Xenopus tropicalis: one gene and its partners. The protein of the gene in region 3 interacts with the protein of the main gene of each other region in a pairwise test. Links are inferred from orthologs where the notes say so. Each region holds a gene or a part of one and is shown on either strand. Other genes may lie near its edges.

The links.
Region 1: the proteins of adrb2 (region 3) and vapa interact in a protein complementation assay, tested with the Homo sapiens proteins (2 studies listed by BioGRID and IntAct, with this or other methods). The link is inferred for Xenopus tropicalis from reciprocal best matches to the Homo sapiens genes ADRB2 and VAPA.
Region 2: the proteins of adrb2 (region 3) and gpr37 interact in a protein complementation assay, tested with the Homo sapiens proteins (2 studies listed by BioGRID and IntAct, with this or other methods). The link is inferred for Xenopus tropicalis from reciprocal best matches to the Homo sapiens genes ADRB2 and GPR37.
Region 4: the proteins of adrb2 (region 3) and arrb2 interact in binary tests that used the Homo sapiens proteins (3 or more experiments, as listed by UniProt). The link is inferred for Xenopus tropicalis from reciprocal best matches to the Homo sapiens genes ADRB2 and ARRB2.

What each region holds. Positions count from the first base shown.
Region 1 is NC_030682.2:104,673,278-104,678,888, forward strand, and holds the start of vapa (vesicle-associated membrane protein-associated protein A), read left to right. Parts: upstream 1-1,869; 5' UTR 1,870-2,163; coding exon 2,164-2,221; intron 2,222-5,611. UniProt on the Homo sapiens protein: Endoplasmic reticulum (ER)-anchored protein that mediates the formation of contact sites between the ER and endosomes via interaction with FFAT motif-containing proteins such as STARD3 or WDR44.
Region 2 is NC_030679.2:70,502,092-70,507,100, forward strand, and holds part of gpr37 (prosaposin receptor GPR37), read right to left. Parts: intron 1,088-5,009; coding exon 269-1,087; 3' UTR 1-268.
Region 3 is NC_030679.2:41,027,075-41,032,706, forward strand, and holds adrb2 (beta-2 adrenergic receptor), read right to left. Parts: upstream 3,232-5,632; 5' UTR 3,022-3,231; coding exon 1,762-3,021; 3' UTR 31-1,761; downstream 1-30. UniProt on the Homo sapiens protein: Beta-adrenergic receptors mediate the catecholamine-induced activation of adenylate cyclase through the action of G proteins. The beta-2-adrenergic receptor binds epinephrine with an approximately 30-fold greater affinity than it does norepinephrine.
Region 4 is NC_030679.2:142,395,987-142,400,995, forward strand, and holds part of arrb2 (beta-arrestin-2), read right to left. Parts: intron 4,542-5,009; coding exon 4,406-4,541; intron 3,560-4,405; coding exon 3,475-3,559; intron 3,348-3,474; coding exon 3,275-3,347; intron 1,876-3,274; coding exon 1,738-1,875; intron 1,655-1,737; coding exon 1,571-1,654; intron 534-1,570; coding exon 460-533; intron 1-459. UniProt on the Homo sapiens protein: Functions in regulating agonist-mediated G-protein coupled receptor (GPCR) signaling by mediating both receptor desensitization and resensitization processes.

The DNA of each region.
Region 1 (5,611 bases), on a different chromosome or scaffold from region 3:
AGTCTATCCAAATCTCTGCCAGTAATACATATCAGTCTTGTAAATGCATGCAATTGCCTTCTGCATTCTCACATGATTATGTGATGTAAATGTTTTTCCAGCAAAGATTCAGACTAACTTTAATACAAAGGCATTTTCAGATACTGATTATTCTTTAGTGCTGGACATAAAATGTCATGCATGCTATCAGTGTGCAAGAAGAACACTGAACCACTGTCAAACCACTTATATTGTAAGTTCTGTAGGGCAGGGATCTCCTTCCTCTTGTCTCTGACAATATTTAATGTAACTGTACTTTGTATCTATGTGTATTTATTATTGCAATGACCCCTTCTTAATTAATTTATTCATTTATTATTCTACTGTACTGTTTTACACTGGAGCTGTCCTTTGCTCTTCCGCTTATGCATGCTTTAAAATACAAAACCTGCAGCTTTGGCATTTTCTAACTTCCTGCAACTTAATGGTTCATCTTTTATTATCAAAGTGTAAATCCCTGTGCAGCCACATAGGTATTGGATAGGCTTTATACCTCCCTTCAGCCTGTCCAATCCCCAAGTGGCTGTACTGAAACTTACACTGTGACCTAATGAGCTGTTAAAAATGAGAAGTTAATAAAATCATGTCTTCCCCAAATGCCACCTGTCACTCCATAATCATCCATTGTTATATATAAACCCTTTACTCTTAGCTGTTAGTAGCTAGTGTGTTATATTATTAATCATAGTGAATTGTTATAAAAAGTTAAATAGAACTCTATGATTTCTATTAGGTTGTACCCCCTGCCTAATGCAGGCTGGGTGCATTAGGGTCACAACATGCCACATACTTTGGTAAATGTAAGAATACTGGGCATCAAGCTGTTCCAAAGATGAAAATAGTAAAATGGAAATAGCAACATGGTTTTACTCTAAAGTGGACAAAACCATAACATGTTGACGGGCGATGTAAAAGTTGTAGGGATGTACCAAATCCAGTATTTTGCCAAGATTTGGCCTTTTTCAGCAGGATTTGGATTTGGGCAGATTTATGCCTCTGACCGAAGCGAATCCGATTCCTTAAAATCACGTGACATTTTGTCACATAAACATGGAAGTTGAAGTTTTTTTTACTCTGCACTTTATCCCCTCCTCGTCCTAAAATTAGGATTCAGATTCAGTTCGGTACTTGGACGAATCTTTCACAAAATTGTTCAGGGTTTGGACGGATCCTAAAATAGTGGATTTGGGCGATCCCTTAAAAAGTGCTTGCGGCTTGTAATTGTGGGCAGGGCCTATTTTTGCCACAACAAATCAAAAGCATTTTTTACCAGAATTTATGCACATAATATGAATACATACATCTTTTTTTTCTATATTTTTACTGGAACTTTAACAATTTTTCCCAAACTGAAAAATTCAGTCTATTGCCATATGCAATATAATGGAACCTATGCAGTGGAATAGTTCAATAAACATGCAAGAGCAAGTTGCTTTACAGAGTGGTCTCACGTCGTTCCTGTGGGAATACTACAGCGCGACGCCTATAGGCTGCGTTTATAAAACTGGCATAAAGGGAAGCAATTGACAAACACCTCGTTCATTCTAAATAAGCATTAACTTGTATTGGTTTCAAATTCCCTAACATTTCCTTCACATTTGTTGCAGCATAACCGCTATCCCTTCCGCGGTGCTCAGCTGTAAAACGCCGTACTGTTTTTGAAGCACTAATGTGGAAGTGTGTGACGGGACGAATCCCGAGTGGGCGTTACCCAGGACACACGCTTGTTACGCGCATGTGCGTGCTGACGTCACCCAGTCCGTGTTCCTCCCGGCCGTGACGCGCTTGGGGCATTACGCGGTTGCCGCACTGTACTGTGTGTTGAGTCAGCGGTGACAAGGAGCGCAAGGGGGGAGGCGGAGGAGGAAAGAGCCGATACTGAACTGACCATAGTAACCCGAGCCTCGGAGCCCACACCGCTAGGCTGTGCCAGCTTTGGCCCGTTCTCCCCGCTCCAGCCTTGTCTTCCAGCGCTCGCTGCCTCTTTAAGTCACCCAGCTGCCTACCTGCTGGGCCTTCATTTGACATCTCATATTCGGCCACGTAACACAAGCGGCCTCCTCTTATTTTGCGTGTTGTGGGCCAGCCGAGCGGTGAATGGCGGTAGTTACACCCGGGGTCACCATGTCCAAACACGAACAAATCCTTATTCTTGACCCGCCCAACGAGCTGAAATTCAAAGGTAACGGGACGTATCTGGTTATGTGGTTCCGGGATGTGAGGCCACAATGCCCCGCTTTCCAGTTGTGTCTTGCGGGGAAAAGGCCTCTGATGGATGGAGAGAGTGTGGAGATTGCTGTTGCCTCTGTTGTGGTGAATCGGGGTGGCTAATCTCTGTCACATTGGTACTGGCAGCTGCACTCCTATCCACCACTGGAGGGCTGCAGCTTGGCCCTTTAGTCTATGGCACTGAGACAGCCAGTGCTAGCTGCTTACAGTGTGCTTTGTTTTACTTCTAATACTAACAGTGACAGCCTGAATAACACGTGATTGTACAATACCAGCAGATTTCACAATGCTGTACAGTAGAAGGGTGTATACATCAAACATACATTACATGAAATGTTTTAGTAAGTGTTAATTGGCCCATGATTCCCACTCTTGCAGCTCTAAAGCAATAAGTAAATATTATTTGACTTGTGGTGTTCAGGTGTGATTGGGCATTACATTGTAAAATACACTGGGGCAGGGATTTATGTGAATCATATATAATCAATGTAAAATGATGTGGTGTTCGTTGTTGCTATATAAATACAGGGTTGTGTGTGTGCTCAGAGCAGTCATGTCAGTAGCCATAGATTGCTTGGGCAGCTGTACAGAAAACTTGTTTAATGTTCAGGATTTAATTTAAGTATTGTTAGATTCACATAAGATGAAAGTGTGCACAGGCAGACTGTTGTTCCTGACAAGGCAATTAGTATAGTTGGCCATACATGGGCAGGTTTAAACTGCTGATTTGGTCCCTTCAGAACATTTTATCTGCCCATGTATGGGTCCTCCTGTCAGATTGCCCAGGTATCTATCAGGCAGGAGTAAATGCCTATTGGGGCATGGGTTACATTGCCTCATTTATGCAGTCCTCTCCTGGCCGCCTGTATCATTAGCCCGAAGATCAGTCCAGTATGGCCCAGCATATAATTGGCTTGTAAAGCGAAGTACCACACCAGCGCCTGCACATATTGGTAGCCTTCTTGGGAACTAAATGAACTCTCTGAAAACTGGCATTAAACAAGCACATAGGTGCCCATATTGGGCACAGAGCTGCTCATTTGGCAACCTGGACAAATGAGTGAATCTTCTTGTGTATAGCCACCTGAATACTGTGATAGGAAATATAAGGTGGGTGAGATCTTACAATTTCAGATCAATAATACAAGTGAAAGGATGAACTCTAAGCAGGTTTCAAGGACAACATTTATTTTTGGCCACCAGGTCTCTCTGTTTTAGCCTTAGGTATCCAGGTGTTGTGGGGTGTCAACTCCTTTAATTTCTTAACATATAATCCAAAATCCAATTAAAAGCATACTGAGAAAATAGGTTTCAGGCCACAAAACTGTTTTTAAACTGACTCAAACCACACAGATTTGCTGTCCCTATAGTGTGTTTGTGTGGTGGTGTTTTTTTTTTTTTTTTTTTTTTGGTAATCCTGAGGGAACTTTGGACTCTTACCAGTACAGTATTTCTCTGTTGCAGGAATGTCCCAGAATCCATTGGTTCTTTTTTTTATTTCTCCTACGCCTCACCTGCTTTTTATAAGCAATTTCACAATTTCTCTGCCCATTTGAAACATAATTGCCTACATTAAAGTTAAGATTACAGAAGGTTACAGGTGTTTTAAACATTACTGTTATTGCCATTTTTAAATCTCCTTTACAAACATTGTAATGTAAAATTCTGTCACTACAGGATCTGCTCCTACGAATGGGGAGCAAGGAGTTGAGGTATGTCAGGTTTACAGGTTTTAAGTAAAGATATGCTTTGGATCAAATTTTTAGTTTGGTCAGACCATCAGTGATCCAAAGGATTGCAGAAACATCCTAGGTGACATTTAGGTGCAGGCAGAAAAAAAAACACCCAATCTGGTCATAAATGTCCAATTTAATTCTATAAACTAAGCCAAAAACCTGTGCTTCTCTATTTTCTTTGTTTTCTTATTTTGCACTTCACAAACATGTACCAAGGAAGTAGCAGTCCTTATTGTCATAAAAAAAAAAAAAATCTAAACAATTTATTTTTTAATTTTTATTATTCACCTTTCATGAGAAACTCCACTACAGAGCTATACTAATGGCATCATGTGGGAGCACAAAATTGCACTGCAAGGCTCAGAAGGTTTGTCTGAGACTTGCAGGGATCTGGGCAAATCCTGAATGGACTACTGAGTTTAATGTATTCTTAATCTAATGGAGCAGGTATTCATCTGACAGACACTGGGGAAACAACTTTTGTCTGTGGTCACCCAGTAACACAATAAGAAATGTAGTAGTAAGGCATTTGTCATAAGCCCAGTTATGAGTTTAGTTTTCAGGTATTACTGGATTTTGTTTCAGCATGGGGATGTCAAAGCTTTATATGCAGGTATTTGCGCTTTTATTCCAATACCTGTTATCCAGAAAGCTCTAAGTTAGGGAAGACCATCTCCCATAAAGTCTATTTTAATCAAATATTTTTTAAACGAATTTCCTTATTCTCTGTAGTAATAGGACAATGCTGTGTTCTTGATATCTTAGAAATAAAAAGATATTTTTTTTTTATTGCAAGGTCATTGTGACTTAAAAAAATGGAATTCCCCGCCGCAGCTGTGGTTTGCAAAAGCAGTACTGCCGAGTACTGTTGGGGACTACACCATGTGCCTATTCCTCATGCAGGCAGCCATGTTGGGGCACATGTATGTACAGACTGTCCTAGGTCTGGGACACTTGTTTTCTAAGGGTATGTTCACCATCCCAATTCAGGTTTAGACATATGCACATGCACATATTGAATATATTTACTCTTGTAAATATCCTAATTTGCTCCCTGGTGGGTGCCTAACATATAGGCTACCTCAGTGTTAGTAGCTTTCCTTGTGCTTTTTTTTTTTTTTTTTCTTTTTATGGTTTTTTGGTGTAACATTTTTCTCTGTTGCACACAACCCAAGCATGTTAACAGTTTGGAGTCTCATCCAACTAGGTTTCCATCTTGAGTGAGCAACTGTGGCGTGACTATACAGTGGCCCCAGACAATGTTGGTTATCCTAAGTGGATGCATTAACTGGGTGATTGGTTATAAGTGTCTTCATTTCCATGACTAATATAGGGTATCATTGGTTTCAGCAGATTGGTAAAAGGAATAACTCCATAAAGTTCAACCTTTATTCTGGAAATGGTAACCATTGGACTCGTACATTCTTTTGTAAGGATGATTTTGACTGCAGGGTCAAAGTTAACTTGACCCCCTAGTATTTTGTGTAGCTGAGGGTTTGGATATATTGGTGGTTTTTATGATTTTGTCAACTTATTACGTTGTTGATGGACCTGCTGTGTCTAATGTGTTGATTTTTTTTTTAACAAAACGTTTATATAGAAGGTAT
Region 2 (5,009 bases), about 29 Mb from region 3:
TTTTACCTACTTTTTAATATAATCTTTCCAAAAGTTTACATTTGTGATTATCAAATAGCTAGCAACAAGCCAATTAAGGTGCAAAAACAAGTTAGCTGTTTTTCTTTTCTTTTTTCTCAGCATACCCTGTTAGGAGTTCTAAAACTTACTGTGATTAAAAAAAATTGTCTAAAACATTTGTACAGTGCTTTGTTAAAAAAGTCAACACTAAAAACATTTCAAATGTGTATCACAGACTTTTATACAAGTACAGTGCGAATGGAGATTTTCAACAATGGGTTCCTACTGATGCAAATGTGGAAATTTCACGCCGTATTGTACTAAATGGGGAAAGTTCCAGTTCTGTAGTGTATTCATTATCATTATCGTCACTGGTTGCAGTTGAGGACTTTTGAATGCATTCATCACAGCAACAACAGCAGCACTCCATGAATGCTCGACTAAAAGGCTTGCAGAGGCAAAAAAGGAGGACAGGAGTAACACATGACTTGAAGAACAAAAGAAATTGGCTAATGAGATGAAGAAGATCCAGAGTTTGCCTTGACACGCCACTGGACATATAAGCTGCTACAATATTGCAAATATTTTCAGGGATTACACAAAATCCATATAAAATGGTTAGGGCTACCACAGTACAATTCATTTGACCTTCAAGCTGAATCTGACGTTTATTTCCTCTTGTGCAAGCTTTCTCAGCTCGTTTTATTTTTCTTGCTGTGACCAATGAGCAGGTTATTGTAAAAAGAGTAGGCAAGCAAAAATAGCAACCAAAATACCACCACAGCCTTGCACCATCATATGTAAGGGCCAACACATAAATTGTATCAGGGAGTTCAGTGGATATTTTTACAACACAGCGCTCACGAAGAAACCGACCATTCACTCCTGTATCCTCCACGGATAACTGTCGAAGGACAACTTCAGGCAGTGCTAGAACTAGCGCACCCACCCATATCACAGCCAGCTTGGCAGTTGTTGAAGTGCAGTTCTCGATCATCTCATAATACATCTGTACATTAGTGGCAGCACGGAATCGGTCAATGCACAGGGCACACAATGTAAAGGTGGTCACTCCAAGGGAAGCTATCTGTTGGGAAAAACATATTATCATTTGATTAGACTGGCCATTTGTACAGACTTTAAAATCACCAATATTCTTCATCACCTATTCATCAATAGCATTTATGCTTATAGAAACAAGTACACAGTGCCTTACCATAATATGAATAGTTATCAATCGCAAGAGATAAAGAAGGAAACATAGAATGAGAAGGCAACAAAGAAATATAATAAAATTAAGTATCACAAATATCTACTCAGTTCAGTGTCTGGATACAATACTGACGAAGGGGGGGAGTGCCCCCCAGAAACGGTGATTTTTTTTGTGGTACATTGGCATAATAAATGGGGTAAGCTCCCCAGCTGAAATTTTGCTTGAGTGCAGTCTCTATTTCTGCTTTGTTGGATACAATACTGGACATTTCTCTTCTCTATAGGTGGGTGAACATTTATTGCAATTATTTTATTGCTCCGCTGCTGGGGAGAAAAAACAGCAATGAAAACCTGAATGCCAGTTTCTAAATAAAAAAGGCACTTTAAAAAAGCTCTGCTAAAACACCTAATGAAATAATATTCAGGGCTCAGCTGTATTGTGTTAAAAAGTAAAACTAAATAAAATGCTATGTTTGCATTGCTAAAAAATATGTCCATTATTTATCAAAAAAGCATGAATCACTTGCTTACATTGGTTAAACTCCTTTAATAACCTATAGTTATATAAAAAGAAAAATAAAGACTAATTAGGTATATTCTTCTAAAACAGAAAAAATACAATAAATATTTACATGGGATTAATCAGGTGGACCTGCTAAAATCTACAGTTAGTATTGATGTTGGTATATAGGGTTAATGTATGTGAGTGTATAGATAGGTCAGTATAGGTTTGTGTGTGCTGGGTTCACTTGGAATGGTTGAACTTGATGGACTCGGTTGAACTTGATAGACCAGGTAAGGGCCTTACCTAAATGTTATCAAAAGGTAGGAAACATGGATTTGTCATGAAAGTAGTTCTACCCAGACAACGAAAAATAGCCCCTGACCACTATTTCTCCACTAAACTTTCCAGATAGCCTTACACATTCAGGCAGATAGACTGCCAACAGTTTCTTACCTTCAGAGAACCTATGTTCTATATCTATATTCCAGTGGCATAGATCAGACATTAAATAAATATTTCCATTAAGTGTAGTTCACTTTATAATGGTTGTAAGAATACTTTTTGGCCATATACTTTTGCCCATATAAGGGAGTCTAAACTTAAACATAGAAATTGATATAAATTTACTCAGTGATTCTCTGAGCACTTTTGAAATTTACAATAATTTTCTAGATATTTGAAATTTTCTAGATATTTAAAATTTTTAACCTGCTAATACCAGGCTTTTTGAGTCAAGTAAGCATCAGTAACACCAGAACGTGCATAGAAATGCATAGGTAGTTAGTCCTGCTGACACCTTTAAAGAGAGTTCTTGAGCTGACAGCCTGCTAAACTGCAAATATCTCACAAACCACTTAAAATAGATAATAAAGATAAAGTGCAAATGTGCTCAGAATATGTTTACATCAGTTTATTTTGTTGTGTTTAGTTCTCTTATCTTTTTAAACAATGTACATCATGCCAGCACCTATGTATACAGCTCATGTTCAAACATACAAAACATTGGGTACACCTAATTCCTCTGGTACATTGGATGTCCAATCCTAAATATTCTTGCTTGGTAAACTGGTCAGCTCAGGAGGATTCATTGATTCTTAACTACCTTAACACTAATTTATTCTAATAGTCTGGTCAGAAAAATCCTCTAAATGTAATATCCTTAGTGATGCCAATATAGTTCCTATAAATGAGAAATTGTTAAAATATTGGTTGGATCCCAAAAATGGGTCTCCATTAGTGTGGCTTTCCATAATCTATTTTAATACAGTGATACAGAATTTAATACTATAACCAACATTAATCAAAATAGGATAATTCATTATTTCTAAAATAATTGTTGAGTTGCAACTCTGACCCTGAGAATTAATCTGGTTTCCAAATAATTTGCAGAGTGGTGTATCATTACAAAGCAATATCCAACACTATCATAAAGAAGATTTATCTTGCAAAACAATTATACTACAAGAAAAGGTCAGGCTTCCAAAACTTCAGCCTCTCCAGACTTGTTCTCCCTGACTACAGTGTATTTATTCTATCCCCTCATGGAATGTTTGCACATGTCAGCGCCCATGCTTAACTCATCTATACCTAGGGGCTGGATTTCTTCTTAAGTTTAAACTTGTCTTGGCAATTCAGTTAATCCATTAAATTGTTTTTGCTTATTACATGGAGGCCTATTTTATGCTATAAAAGCCTTGCATTGTCAATCCTTTGAATATATAATTCCAATAAAACTTTACCAGGCCTCTCCTCCTTAGTTTTTCTTTTCTCTCTCTTGCTTGTTTAAACTTCTTTATGTTTGTATAATATTTATTATGGTAGCAGTTTTTTCACATTGAGTTGCCATCTCTAGTCTGTGACATGTTCTTAAATTGATCTGCAGTCCATTACAAACTATTAACAAAAAATTAAAGGTATGGAGTTGAGGATCTGAAAGAATGGCAGCTGCTTGGAAAAATCCATACTGACTGTAATAAGGATTAACAGCAGCTTTAGAGTTTATGCAGTAATGCCTGGTAATTGCCCTTTAACATGCAGTCAAACATACCAAAGCTTCAAAATGTAGTTTTAATTAATATTTATTAATGTATTTTGGGTACATATGATCTATAACCACCTAACAATTGTGGTATAAAGTACAAAAATATATAACTTAATTATAAGAGTTTTAATTTAAGGGATTGTATTCTTTCTTCTGCATGTACAAAAGGACATACTACATTTTTAAACACCCAAATATTTCTCAGCATGTGAATATGTTGTATTTTTATTTTTCCAAGACTGGATGGGTACTGGTTGAGGTTACTTACTATTGAGTTATTTTAGCCAAATTAACTAAGGCTCATAAGCACTAAAGTGGATGCAAAATTGAGCAAACTTTACATGCTCCTTGTAGGGATCACCAATACGCAATTAGCATATACATTGGCATAACAAGCACAAATCTTTGGTGTACACAATGTAACATGTGCCTGCAATTGCACTGGAATTCTGGGAATAAAATGCTGCATTGTGGGCAATTAATTTGCAAAAGGGCTTTGTTGACTATACATTTCGAACTGATTTTTAATTGGGTTATTATAAATGAACATATTCCCAGTGTATAAATAAAGCACAAAATGTTCAGAGGAATTTCAATGGACTAAGTCAATATCTTTGCTAACTTTTGCTATAATATATATATATATATATATATATATATATATATATATATATATATATATAGCGAGAGAGAGAAAGAGAGATTCTGATTGATGATATCAGAGGCACATCATCAGAGAGAGCAGGTCTAGCTGTTGCCGGTGGGAAAGTGTATAGAGGATGTCCAGACTAACAACATTTCTATATGTGTGTGAGACAATTTATTTTCCCAAGGGTTTGGGTAACAGGAAGACTTAATGGGTTTTTTTTTCTTTGTAGGCCAATAAACAGTTACTCTGTTCACTATAAAGAGTGCTGAAAGTATCATACAGTACAATCTTCCCATCAGGGAGGAACGGTGATTGTGCTTCTGTAACCCAGGACATTTTGCAGAGAGAATTAACTTCAGAAATTGCCTGGGCTGACTGTTTCAGGTATGCCCCTGTAGTTAAACCCCTTGTTAGGAAATTATTTGGAACATATATGATATGTAATAGGGTCTGAGCAAAGTATTTAACAGCATCAGGAAAGGAAGAGAAGAAACCCAGATGCAAGATTCAGCCAGAAATCGCATTTACTTTCTCTTGCATGACTAATGTTCTAGAATCCTCCTTGACTACATCAGAGGCCCAGAAATTGCTTAATTTTGGGA
Region 3 (5,632 bases):
GTGGGGGAACACACAAACACAAGCCAGATTAATAAATAGCACAATGACCTTTAATAAGAGCAACATACAATACTGTAAGGCTTGGAAATGTGCAAAAGAGCTGATCTGCTAGTGACCCTGTGAGCTGCGCAGAGGAAATGTATGGAACAGACATGCCTTGTGCGATAGGGAGAACTCAGCCTGTCCAGCAGGGCGTATTAAAGTGATAGACCATAATAATTTGTAATGTCCTGTGTCTGTAGCCTATCAACTATTTTGTTTTTATATTCTTATTTATGAATGAGCCTCTGCTTTACTTCCTTCGTCTGTGGTTTCCTAGTTTATGCCTAAACATACCCCATTAAATCTATACTGAGTAGAATCATTGAAGAGACAAGAGGAAACAACCCGCAAGCTTGTCTTTAAGTGCTGCTGAACTACAACTCTCAGAATCCTACCACTGTCATGGGCAACTGCTGAGCACTGTAGTGCAGTCACATCTGGAAAGCCCCATATTTTGCTCATAACCCAGAGATAACTGATTAATTACCCTGACAGGACTTGGTTTCAGCCAGAGATCAGACACTACAGAACAGCAGTAGGAACATCTGTTCTGCCCCATCTAGGAGACAAGGACTCATTTATCTCGCAAATAGGGATCTAGGAGGCTGGGCTCACCGAAAAAACAGATTAGTTTGCCATCAAGAAGGGGATGGGTCCTCCACTCAACTTTGGACTTCACTGCTAAAATTAGATGAACTAAGTTAGACCTTTAACCCTTCTATCCTTAAAATACACTTTTGGTTAGAGGCTCCAGTATACGTGACAGTCACTGCAAATGTCAAATTGCTTATAAAAAGTGCCACTTTCCAACCTGCAACAGAGGGGTTAAAGGGGAATGCAAAGATTGGCACAAACCTAAAAGGGTGGCTGGAAATGTATTGAGTTAGCTCTGCGACTTTTTTTTTTTTTTTTACTGCATTTCCTCCCTGAGAAACCATGAAAAAAAAGAATTTATTTACAGGTGCAAAAGTACACAATGGTGGTAACTATAGCAACTATTCTGATATTATTTTACATGGTTTCACAGCAGCTTGCAAAACACGACCAACCAAAGCTGGTTGCTATAGGTTACTGCAATTGTGCCTTTTTGCACCTATGCTGAATGACCCCCAAGGGTCTCTCCTGGTTGCAACACACAGTTTTCATCAGTCTTATACAGAATATACGTTTTCCTATCTCTCACAACCCAACTTTTGCAATTTCAAAAGTTCAAAATATTAAGCTCAGCACATTAACCCCATCATTACTCAGGAGAGCTATCTCAAGGAAAGTAGAATTAACCCTGTCCCTTCCGCCAACAGCAGCTGTTTTTTGTATTATTAAGGGGTAGAAAAGGGGGGAAAAAGCAAGATTTTTTTTTTTTAAGTTTCAGAATTCTTGAACTTAGAATTCAATTTTTTTTTAAGGGTTTGAGGTAGATTTTTCTTCAGTAAAGTACACAGGGCAGCAACATAAAAATATAAAAGCCATTACATTATAACAAAAGATCTCTTACCTTAATTTAAGAGGAACTGAAAATAGACAGAAATGTACATTTTCTCATAATAAATTTATACATTCTGCAAGACATGGGCACTGCCCTTCTGCAAAATATACATATATAATATACATATAAAAACATTTTCCTTTGTATTATACATTCGGATATCTGGTTGACCCTTGTATTGCAATAATCCAGTTTGTTGTAATAGTTCAAATATTAAAAAAAAATCGACAATCCTATAATAAGCAATCATGCGTGTTATGATTCTTGCCCAGTGGTTCCAAGCTAAAATCTAGAAGAGTACCTTCACAGTTCAAAAGGGAGGGATTGGGAGTTTTCTCCTCTTTAAATAAAACTTCACAAGTCCTGTCTTTAGAATACTGACAAGGTTCTGTGTCTTCGTTGTATGCACTGTTCCCATTGCTCTGGGGGTACCCATTGGCATAGGCTTTGGAGCCCGGTTTCCTTAAGCACAGCAGCTCCTGAAAAGTGTATCTGAAATCTGGGCTCCTGCAGTAGATTAACGGGTTAAAGGCAGAGTTGACATATCCCACCCAGTTCAAGAAGTTGTAAACTTTGACAGGGATAAAGTCTTTGTGCATCACCTGGACAATGTTGACTATAAAAAAGGGGAGCCAACACAAAGTAAAAGTGCCCATTATTATCCCCAAAGTCTTCAGTGCCTTGTGCTCCTTCAACCAAAACTTTGAGGTCCTTTTATTTCCTTGCTTACCATTGGTGTCCTGTTGGTTATTCTGGTTGTGGAACCTTCCCTCGCTTTTGTCTATTTTCTTTAGTTGTTTTTTGGCCTCCTGGAAGACCCTTGCGTAGACAAAAATCATGACCACCAGAGGTAAGTAGAAGGAGATGATGGAAGAGGAGATGGCATAAGCAGGGTTGGTGAAGAAAAAACAACAGGAGGGGTCATCATAGCAATGCAAGGCACTCTCCTCCTCTATCCTATACCAGTGCATGTAGATGGGGAGGAAAGAGGTAAGTGTGGACACCACCCACACCAGCAGGATGACAATCCTGGCTTTGCACTTGGTCAGGAGGCTCTGATACCTGAATGGAGAGGTAATGGCGAAGTACCTATCCACTGCAATGACGCAAAGGGTCTCTATGCTGGCAGTGACGCAAAGGATATCCACTGATGTCCAGAACTCGCACCAGAAGTTATTGAAAACCCAAGTGTCCAGGATGATGGAACTCGCTCCGAAGGGCACCACTATCAGCCCCATCAGCAGGTCCGCACAGGCTAAAGACGTGATGAAGTAGTTGGTGACCGTCTGCAGCCTCTGGAACTTGGCTATGGCAGTGATCACCAACACGTTGCCGAGCACAATCACCAACACGATGCAAGACATGATTATGCCCATGCCCACCATCCACGCATCCCCGGGCTTATCGCTGGCGTTGCTAGTGTTGGAGACGTTGGAGACCAGCTGTTCGAGGGTGCTGTTAGGGTAGGGGCTGGCGGTGACCCGCTGTTCCATAGCTTTGCAGTCCCTTTGACTTTACTTCCACTTGTTAGGAGTCGGTTGGGTGTGACACGCAGCGCTGAAAGTACTCCTGCCCCGCGTATATCCAGCGCATTTAGCCATGGGGGAGGCGGAGTTGCCCGGTGTCGTTCATTTGTGCCCGTCCTGTTTGTGGGGCGTTAGACATGGAACTACCTCTCTCTCCTGAGAGTCTCTTCTGATTCTGGGCTGTGGGCTCGCCTGCTTTCTTTTATTAACACCCGCCCTTACGTCACAACGGGCTCCAGCCAATCCCCGGAGAGCAAGAGCGGGATACCGCGTAACACCGGCTGGTCGCTGCCTTTCTCTTTTCCTTTCGGAAGTTGCCTGCGCTAATAGTTAGCTGCGCTATACTGCGCTATACTGCACGGCGGATCAAACGGTGCCACTTACAGGCTTTAAGCAGGGTGGGCTCGAAGTTGCACGGCAGTGCATCTAATCAGTTGCTGATGTACAAGTACAGCCCCTGGTATCCCCCGAGAGTTCGAATTCTACAGCTACTGGGGCTGACTGGACATTACTGGACTCTTTCTGCGATTGGCAGATGTTTAGCTATGTCCAAAGTTTGATGTTTAGGTACAATTCCCACCATTGATTAGTTGGATAGCTTGTGTTACATATCCCCCTGCTTTAGGGTGAAGACACACAGAGCTACTAGTCGCAGCTTCTTTTTCACAGCTACTAAACGCCAGAAAATACCCTCCCATGGACAATACTGAGAATTGCCTCTGCTAAAACACAGGTACAGCCAATTATCAGTAAATGATCAGCATTGTCTACTTTAGTATATATACTAGTAGCTCTGTGTGTCTTCACCCTTAAGCGTCACATAACCAGCTACTACTTGTATTTTATTTATGATTTATTTCTTGTCATTCTTTTGCCCAGTGTATCTGATATCTGTGCAACACCTATTCTGCATTGCAGAGGCTATTGTGGCACTATGCGCTAATGGGTAAGGGCAGTGAACAGAATAGGAAACAACGTCAATCATTTAAACACTAAAAACAGTCAGAACTGTAATTTATGTACAGAGTTGCAGCTATGAAGGCATGCTGCAACCAGCTAACCCATTCCCAAGGGCAAAGCAATAATCAGAGCAGGGAGGGTGAAGACTATGGTGGCCCCATACTGCTAATTGTTGCACCTCTGCTTTCTTCTAATTGTTGCACTGCAGCCAAGAGCAGAGCCCATGGGCATATACTGTATGTATGGGAAGAAAAGAAGTCGGCAATAAACCTTCGGACTATGTATAGTAATTGTATCTACAGCTGTCATAAAAGATATGTTCAAATTCTTCTTCAGTGCAGAGTAAACTTGCAAAAAGTACAGAGAAAATAGAGCTGCTATATTGTATGTGAGTGTACTGAAATAACTTGCCACCTAGGTAATTATTAAGTGAGAGTTTTGCTTTTGGCACATATTAGTGGTACCAGGGGGGCAAGGGGCTACTTAGATCACCCCATTGCCGTAGTAGCTTTTGTGGTGATGTGGCCCAAAAAACTCACTCGGCAGGCCTTTCAGCTGTTGTTGAACTACAGGTCCCAGAACACTAAAGAATTCCCCCCCGTATTCAACGGTCATTGGGTGCTGGGAGTTTAATAGCAAAAAAAAGGCTCATCTTGCTTTACTCCCCCTACTATAAGCAGCACTTCCTGCCTCCAGTCCGGCTTGGTGGTGGACAAAAGATGGACCCTGGAAGTCACCCTTTTTTGAATCCCCCAAAGCTCTGCCGATAACAACCGATGAGAATCAGCCAGCAGGCAGCTGTAACTTATGTGTACAGTACAATGCTATGGGAATAGCAGGGGGAAAGTGAGTAACTCTTGTTGTAAGTACACATTTAATTAATTTATTGCAATGGCAGGGTTTTTTGGCTCCATTTCAGCCTCCTTACTGTAATGTCTCTGCGTCTTGTACCATGTTGTTTCTCTGTTGCTTTTTACCATTGTGCATAAGATATATACCATTTTAATGTATAAATAAAATATCATAGCCTTCTGTCTTGCATTATCATTTTATATAATGTGGTCTCTATGCCATTTAGTCCATGTGATCCTCTTTAACCAGTGGCAGAACTATTTAGGGGGCAGCAAGTTCAGCCCAGCTTTAATAAGTCAAGGAGGCATACCAAGCAGTGAGAACGGTGGAAGAGTATGTGTAAAAGGCGGAGAGGTGTAAAAGTTTGCATCTGGTTACATTACTGCTATTGACAAGATGGCATTTCTTCCTGCAATAGCCAGTGGCAATTCATATAAAGTGTTTTTTTTTTTATATTCCGAACCTGTAGTAATTAAAATACATGAAAGCCAACTCCCAGACTTATCCAGGGTCTCTGAGAAAAGGGTTAAGAAACCCCAAATTAGTGGATTTGTATGCCAATTAAGAATTTTATCCTGGGTTTGTAAATATACACATGGATCTTCAGTCTGTGAGATTAGGAGGCTTGTAGCCTATCTTTATTACAAATCCCAGAATCCTATAACATCCTGTGGGATTATCAATTCAGCCTTTGATGGAAAACAGCAGGATACAAGTACAGCTTTAGGTGTAACTAGTGAGGCGTTATAGTATTTTACAGCATCAT
Region 4 (5,009 bases), about 100 Mb from region 3:
ATTGAATGCTATTCTGATACCTACTGGGAGCTGCTATCTTGCTCCCTTCCCATTGTTCTGCTGATCGTCTGCTGGGGGGGAGGGGGGGATATCACTCCAACTTGCAGCGCAGCAGTAAAGTGTGCTTGAGTCTGAGCTTTCAGAAGGAGCCAGCGCTACACATTAGAACTGCTTTCAGCTAACCTATTGTTTCTCCTACTCCCATGTAACTGGAGGAGTCCCAAGCCAGACTTGGATTTCTTACTATTGAGTGCTATTCTGATACCTACTGGGAGCTGCTATCTTGCTCCCTTCCCATTGTTCTGCTGATCGGCTGCTGGGGGGGATATCACTCCAACTTGCAGCGCAGCAGTAAAGTGTGCCTGAGTCTGAGCTTTCAAAAGGTATCACAAAGAGAAAGGAAAGGGCAGCGAGGCATAGAGGAATGATTTGCCGTTGCTTTCCTGCGCTGCTGCGTACCTGACAAAGGCCGGGAGATGTTCTCTGGAGGCTTCGGGTGCATCAGGACAAAGGGCAGCTCTACGGCCACGTCGCTGTAAGAGATCCACACAGACTTAATAAATACATCATTATATTCACATATTATTATGGGCATACAGACTTTCACATAAGTTACCCTATTACTCTCCTCATTAAACATGTGGCATCACCTAAAAGCCTATCCAGCACAGCCAATCACTGGCAAGCATTCTTACAGAGCCTCGTTATAAAGGGGCGGTTCACCTTTAAGGTAACTTTTAGTATGTTACGCAATGGCCATTTCCAAGGAACTTTTCAATTGGTCTTCATTATTTATTTGTTACAGTTTTTAGAATGATTCGACTACTTCTTCCAGCTCTTTGCCGTTTTTAAATGGGGGTCACTGACCCCGGCAGAGAACAGACTACTACTAATTGCTATTGTGACTTTTTGTAACTTTCTTTTCTATTCAGCACCTCCCCTATTCATATACCAGTCTCTCATCCAAACCACTCCCTGGTTGCTAAGGTAACTTGGACCCTAGCAACCAAATAGCTGCTGAAACCCCAAATTGGAGAGCTACTGAACTGAAAATGATATTAAAAAAAACCACAAATAGTCAAAAAATGAATGTCTCAGAATATCGCTCTCTACATCAAACTGGACTAAGTCTTATGTAGAGAGCGATATTCTGGGACACTTTGCAACTGTTGTTCATTTTTTGACTATTCGTGGTTTTTTTTTTTTTGTTCAATTATTTTACTTTTTTTTCATCAGCTCTCCAGCTTGGAATTTCAGCAGCTATGGTTACTAGGGTTCAAATTACCTTAGCAACTAGGGAGTGGTTTGAATGAGAGACTGATATATCTATAGGGGAGGGCCTGAATAGAATAAAAAGTAACAACAACAAAAATACTGCAGCCTCACAGACCCATAGTCTGTTGGGATGTTGGGGTCAGTGACCCCAGTTTGAAAGTCAAAAATTAAATAATGAAGACCAATTGAAAAGATGCTTAGAATTGGCCATTCTATAACATACTAAAACTTACCTTAAAGTTACCCCACTTGTGTTTATCGTCCACCATTTATCCCTGTTGAAATGAATACTTACCCCCCACGCGACACTACCAGTTTTACTTTCACCCTGTAGGACACCAGGATCCCCAGCACCTCCTTACTGGATCCTTCCTTCACGCTGCGGAGCAAAGAGAAGCCCATGTGATACACAGCGCTTGACATGTACATAATAAGCCAATAGCGAGGGGCTTAGCCACCTACATGGTACTCGACGCCAGGTTCGTGTCCTCGTGTTTCAGCTTTCCATCCAGTGCCAGCCCCCTCTTCTCCCGATTATTGGACAGCAGAGGAGTCAGGGTGTAAACTTTACAGAACGTGGAGCTGGGGGTCACCTGATCACTGGGGGACACAGGGAAAGAGTGGTCGGTAAGTGACAGACCAAGGCAGACAAAAAGGTAAATGGCACTTGGCAGAGAATAACCTTTAGTATAACGTAGACGGTGATATTCTGAGACAATTTGCAATTGGTCTTTATTATGGATTTTTTTTTTTATAGTTTTTCAGTTATTTAGCTTTTTTTTCCATTTTGGCATTTTAGCAGCTATCTGGTTGCTAGATTCTTATCTTACCTAGCAACCAGGCAGTGGTTTGAATAAGGGTAAAGACACACGGAGCTACTAGTAGCAGACAATACTGATCATTTACTGATAATTGTCTCTACGTGTGTTTTAGCAGAGGCAATTCTAAGTATTGTCTATGGCAGGGAATTTTCTGGAGTTTAGTAGCCATGAAAAAGTAGCTGCTTATAGTAGCTCAGTGTGTCTTCACCCTAAGGGTAAAGCCACACGGAGCTACTAGTAGCAGCTACTTGTCACAGCTACTAAAATAGTCAATGCTGATCATTTACTGATTATTGTCTCTATGTTTTAGCAGAGGCAATTCTCAGTATTGTCTATGGCAGGGGATTTTCTGGCGTTTAGTAGCCATGACAAGTAGCTGCTACTAAGTAGCAATTACTTCTTGTGGTTACTAAAACAGACAATGCTGATCATTTACTGATAATTGTCTCTACGTGTGTTTTAGCAGAGGCAATTCTCAGTATTGTCTATGGCAGGGGATTTTCTGGCGTTTAGTAGCCGTGACAAGTAGCTGCTACTAAGTAGCAGTTACTTCTTGTGGCTACTAAAATAGACAAAGCTGATCTTTTACTGATAATGTTCTCTACATGTGTTTTAGTAGAGGCAATTCTCAGTATTGTCTATGGCAAGGTACTCTCTAGAGTTTAGTAGCCATGAAAACATAGCTGCTACTAGTAGCTAGTGTGAGCTAGTGTGTCTTCACCCTACTGGAATAAGTATAGGAGGTAGACTAAATAGAAAGATAACTTATGAAAAGTAACAAAAATAAAATTGTAGCCTCTGAGAGCAATAGTTTTTGGCTGCCGGGGGTGAAACATGGAAAGAGACAGAAGAGGAAGGCAAATAACTCAAAAACTATAGAGAATAAATAATGAAGACCAATTGCAAAGTTGTTAGGAACAGGGCATTCTATAACATACTAAGAGTTGTTATACAATGATCCCAGCTCAGAATCACCCCCATTCAAAAAGGGGGCCATGATTGAAATAAGGGGTTGACATGGACATTATACATGGGGGGGGGGGGGGGGGGGGAGTTGGACATTGACAAAGGCAAACTCTGTATGTGGAAGAGGAGGTGAATGAAAGAGGAGATGAATGGAAGAGGAGATGAATGGAAGAGGAGATGAATAGAAGAGGAGATGAATGAGAGGTACTTACTCCTGTTCAATCTGAGCCACCGGGCACTTGTACTGGGCAGTGCTGAACAGGCAGATGTCTGCATACTGTCTGACTGCGAGAGATAAAGGGGGAATGAGTATAACACATATATACTGCTGCACCCAGCCCCGGCACCTGTATACTAATATTTCTATGCATGTCTGTGGCCTACATTAAAGGCAAGAGCAGCAAGAACTTACCTGACACTTTCACCCTCTTCACAGTCTTGCTGGAGTTGTTGGTCACGTGCACATTCACATTTATTGGCTCTCCATGGTAATAGAGCTGTGAGCGGAAGGGGAAACAAAACTTAATGGGGTTGTTCACCTTTGTACAACATTCACATTAATCATTATACATAGTTAACCAAAAAATGTGCAGCTGAAGAGAGATTCACCTCAGAATCATCCATCACTGCTGCACAGACCCTGTGCTGGGGGGTCAGTGACCCCTATAAACACTACAGTTGCTTTTTTTACTTCCTTATATGATGTCGCACATAGTCCTGGCAGCAGGCTTAACGTCTATTGGCTGTGCCTCCTGTCAGTCTGACACTGCTTCCTGCTTTTTAGCAGTATGTGCCATTGGGTAATCCTAAATAGAAAACTGCCATTTTAAGTACTAAGGGCCGCCCCCTGGGATCATAGGATTCACAGTGCACACACACAAGCCAAGGCACACATACATGCTAGGCCCCTACAGCCAATGAATGGGCAGAGTTCTGTCTCTTACTCCCACACTACTTCCTGTTACAGTTAGAGCTGCATCACTTCCTGTCAGCTGATCTCTGAGGGAGCACACAGCCCATCACTAAATGGTGGTTCAAGGGAATGGATGACCAGTTGTGCTGGCCAAGATCCAGAGTACTCATAGCAGAACCCCTGGGCCATTCGGCTATTCCCTACACTAGTTGCTTAGTAATTATATTATAATGGTAGGGAAAAGGAAGATATAAGGATGGTCGTGGCTAAACAGCCTGAGAGATCATGGCAACATAGGCAAAACTGAAACTGCAAGCTGAGCTGGTATAACTCCTTTCACAGACACAGCATTGACTTCAAACGAGGAAATGCATCAGCATCATCATTTCCTCACACCCCTAATGAGTGTGTTTGCACCCAGCAAACCTACCTCTTTATCTAAAGATGCTTCTAGATGCAGGGAGCGGTCGGACATCAGGAAATGCCGCGTTGTCTCAGCTACTGGCTGGGGTCCGGGCTTCTCTGGGGCAAACTGCACCTTTCTAATAACCAAACGTACAGAGTTCCTAAAGGGAAAAAGAAGACATAGGGCTCAGAGAAGCACAAGAGAAACCCCATCAAACCCCAATTTGCCCTGCTACAAACAAAGGACAAGCAGACCAATTTCAGTGTAAATGGGAAAAAAAAACACAGAAAATCAGAATGAAGGAACAGTGGCAGAGGCTACACTATAGGGGACAGGAATGACTTACCCTTTAGGCAGCCATACACACACACACTATATATATATATATATATATATATATATATATATATATATATATATATATGGTAGCCCAGTCAACAGAAGAGTAACCATACTGTGTAGGCCCCGTAGCCAATAAGCGGCATACTGTACTACAGGGTATGGCCACTTTATGGCACACAGTGAGTTAATGGCATTGCTGCTGAGAAAGCATCTTTACGCTGCAGTCCCATAGCTACTGCAACACCCATCTCCCTTAGCCACTTGTGTAGCAACTGCTGCAGTGCCT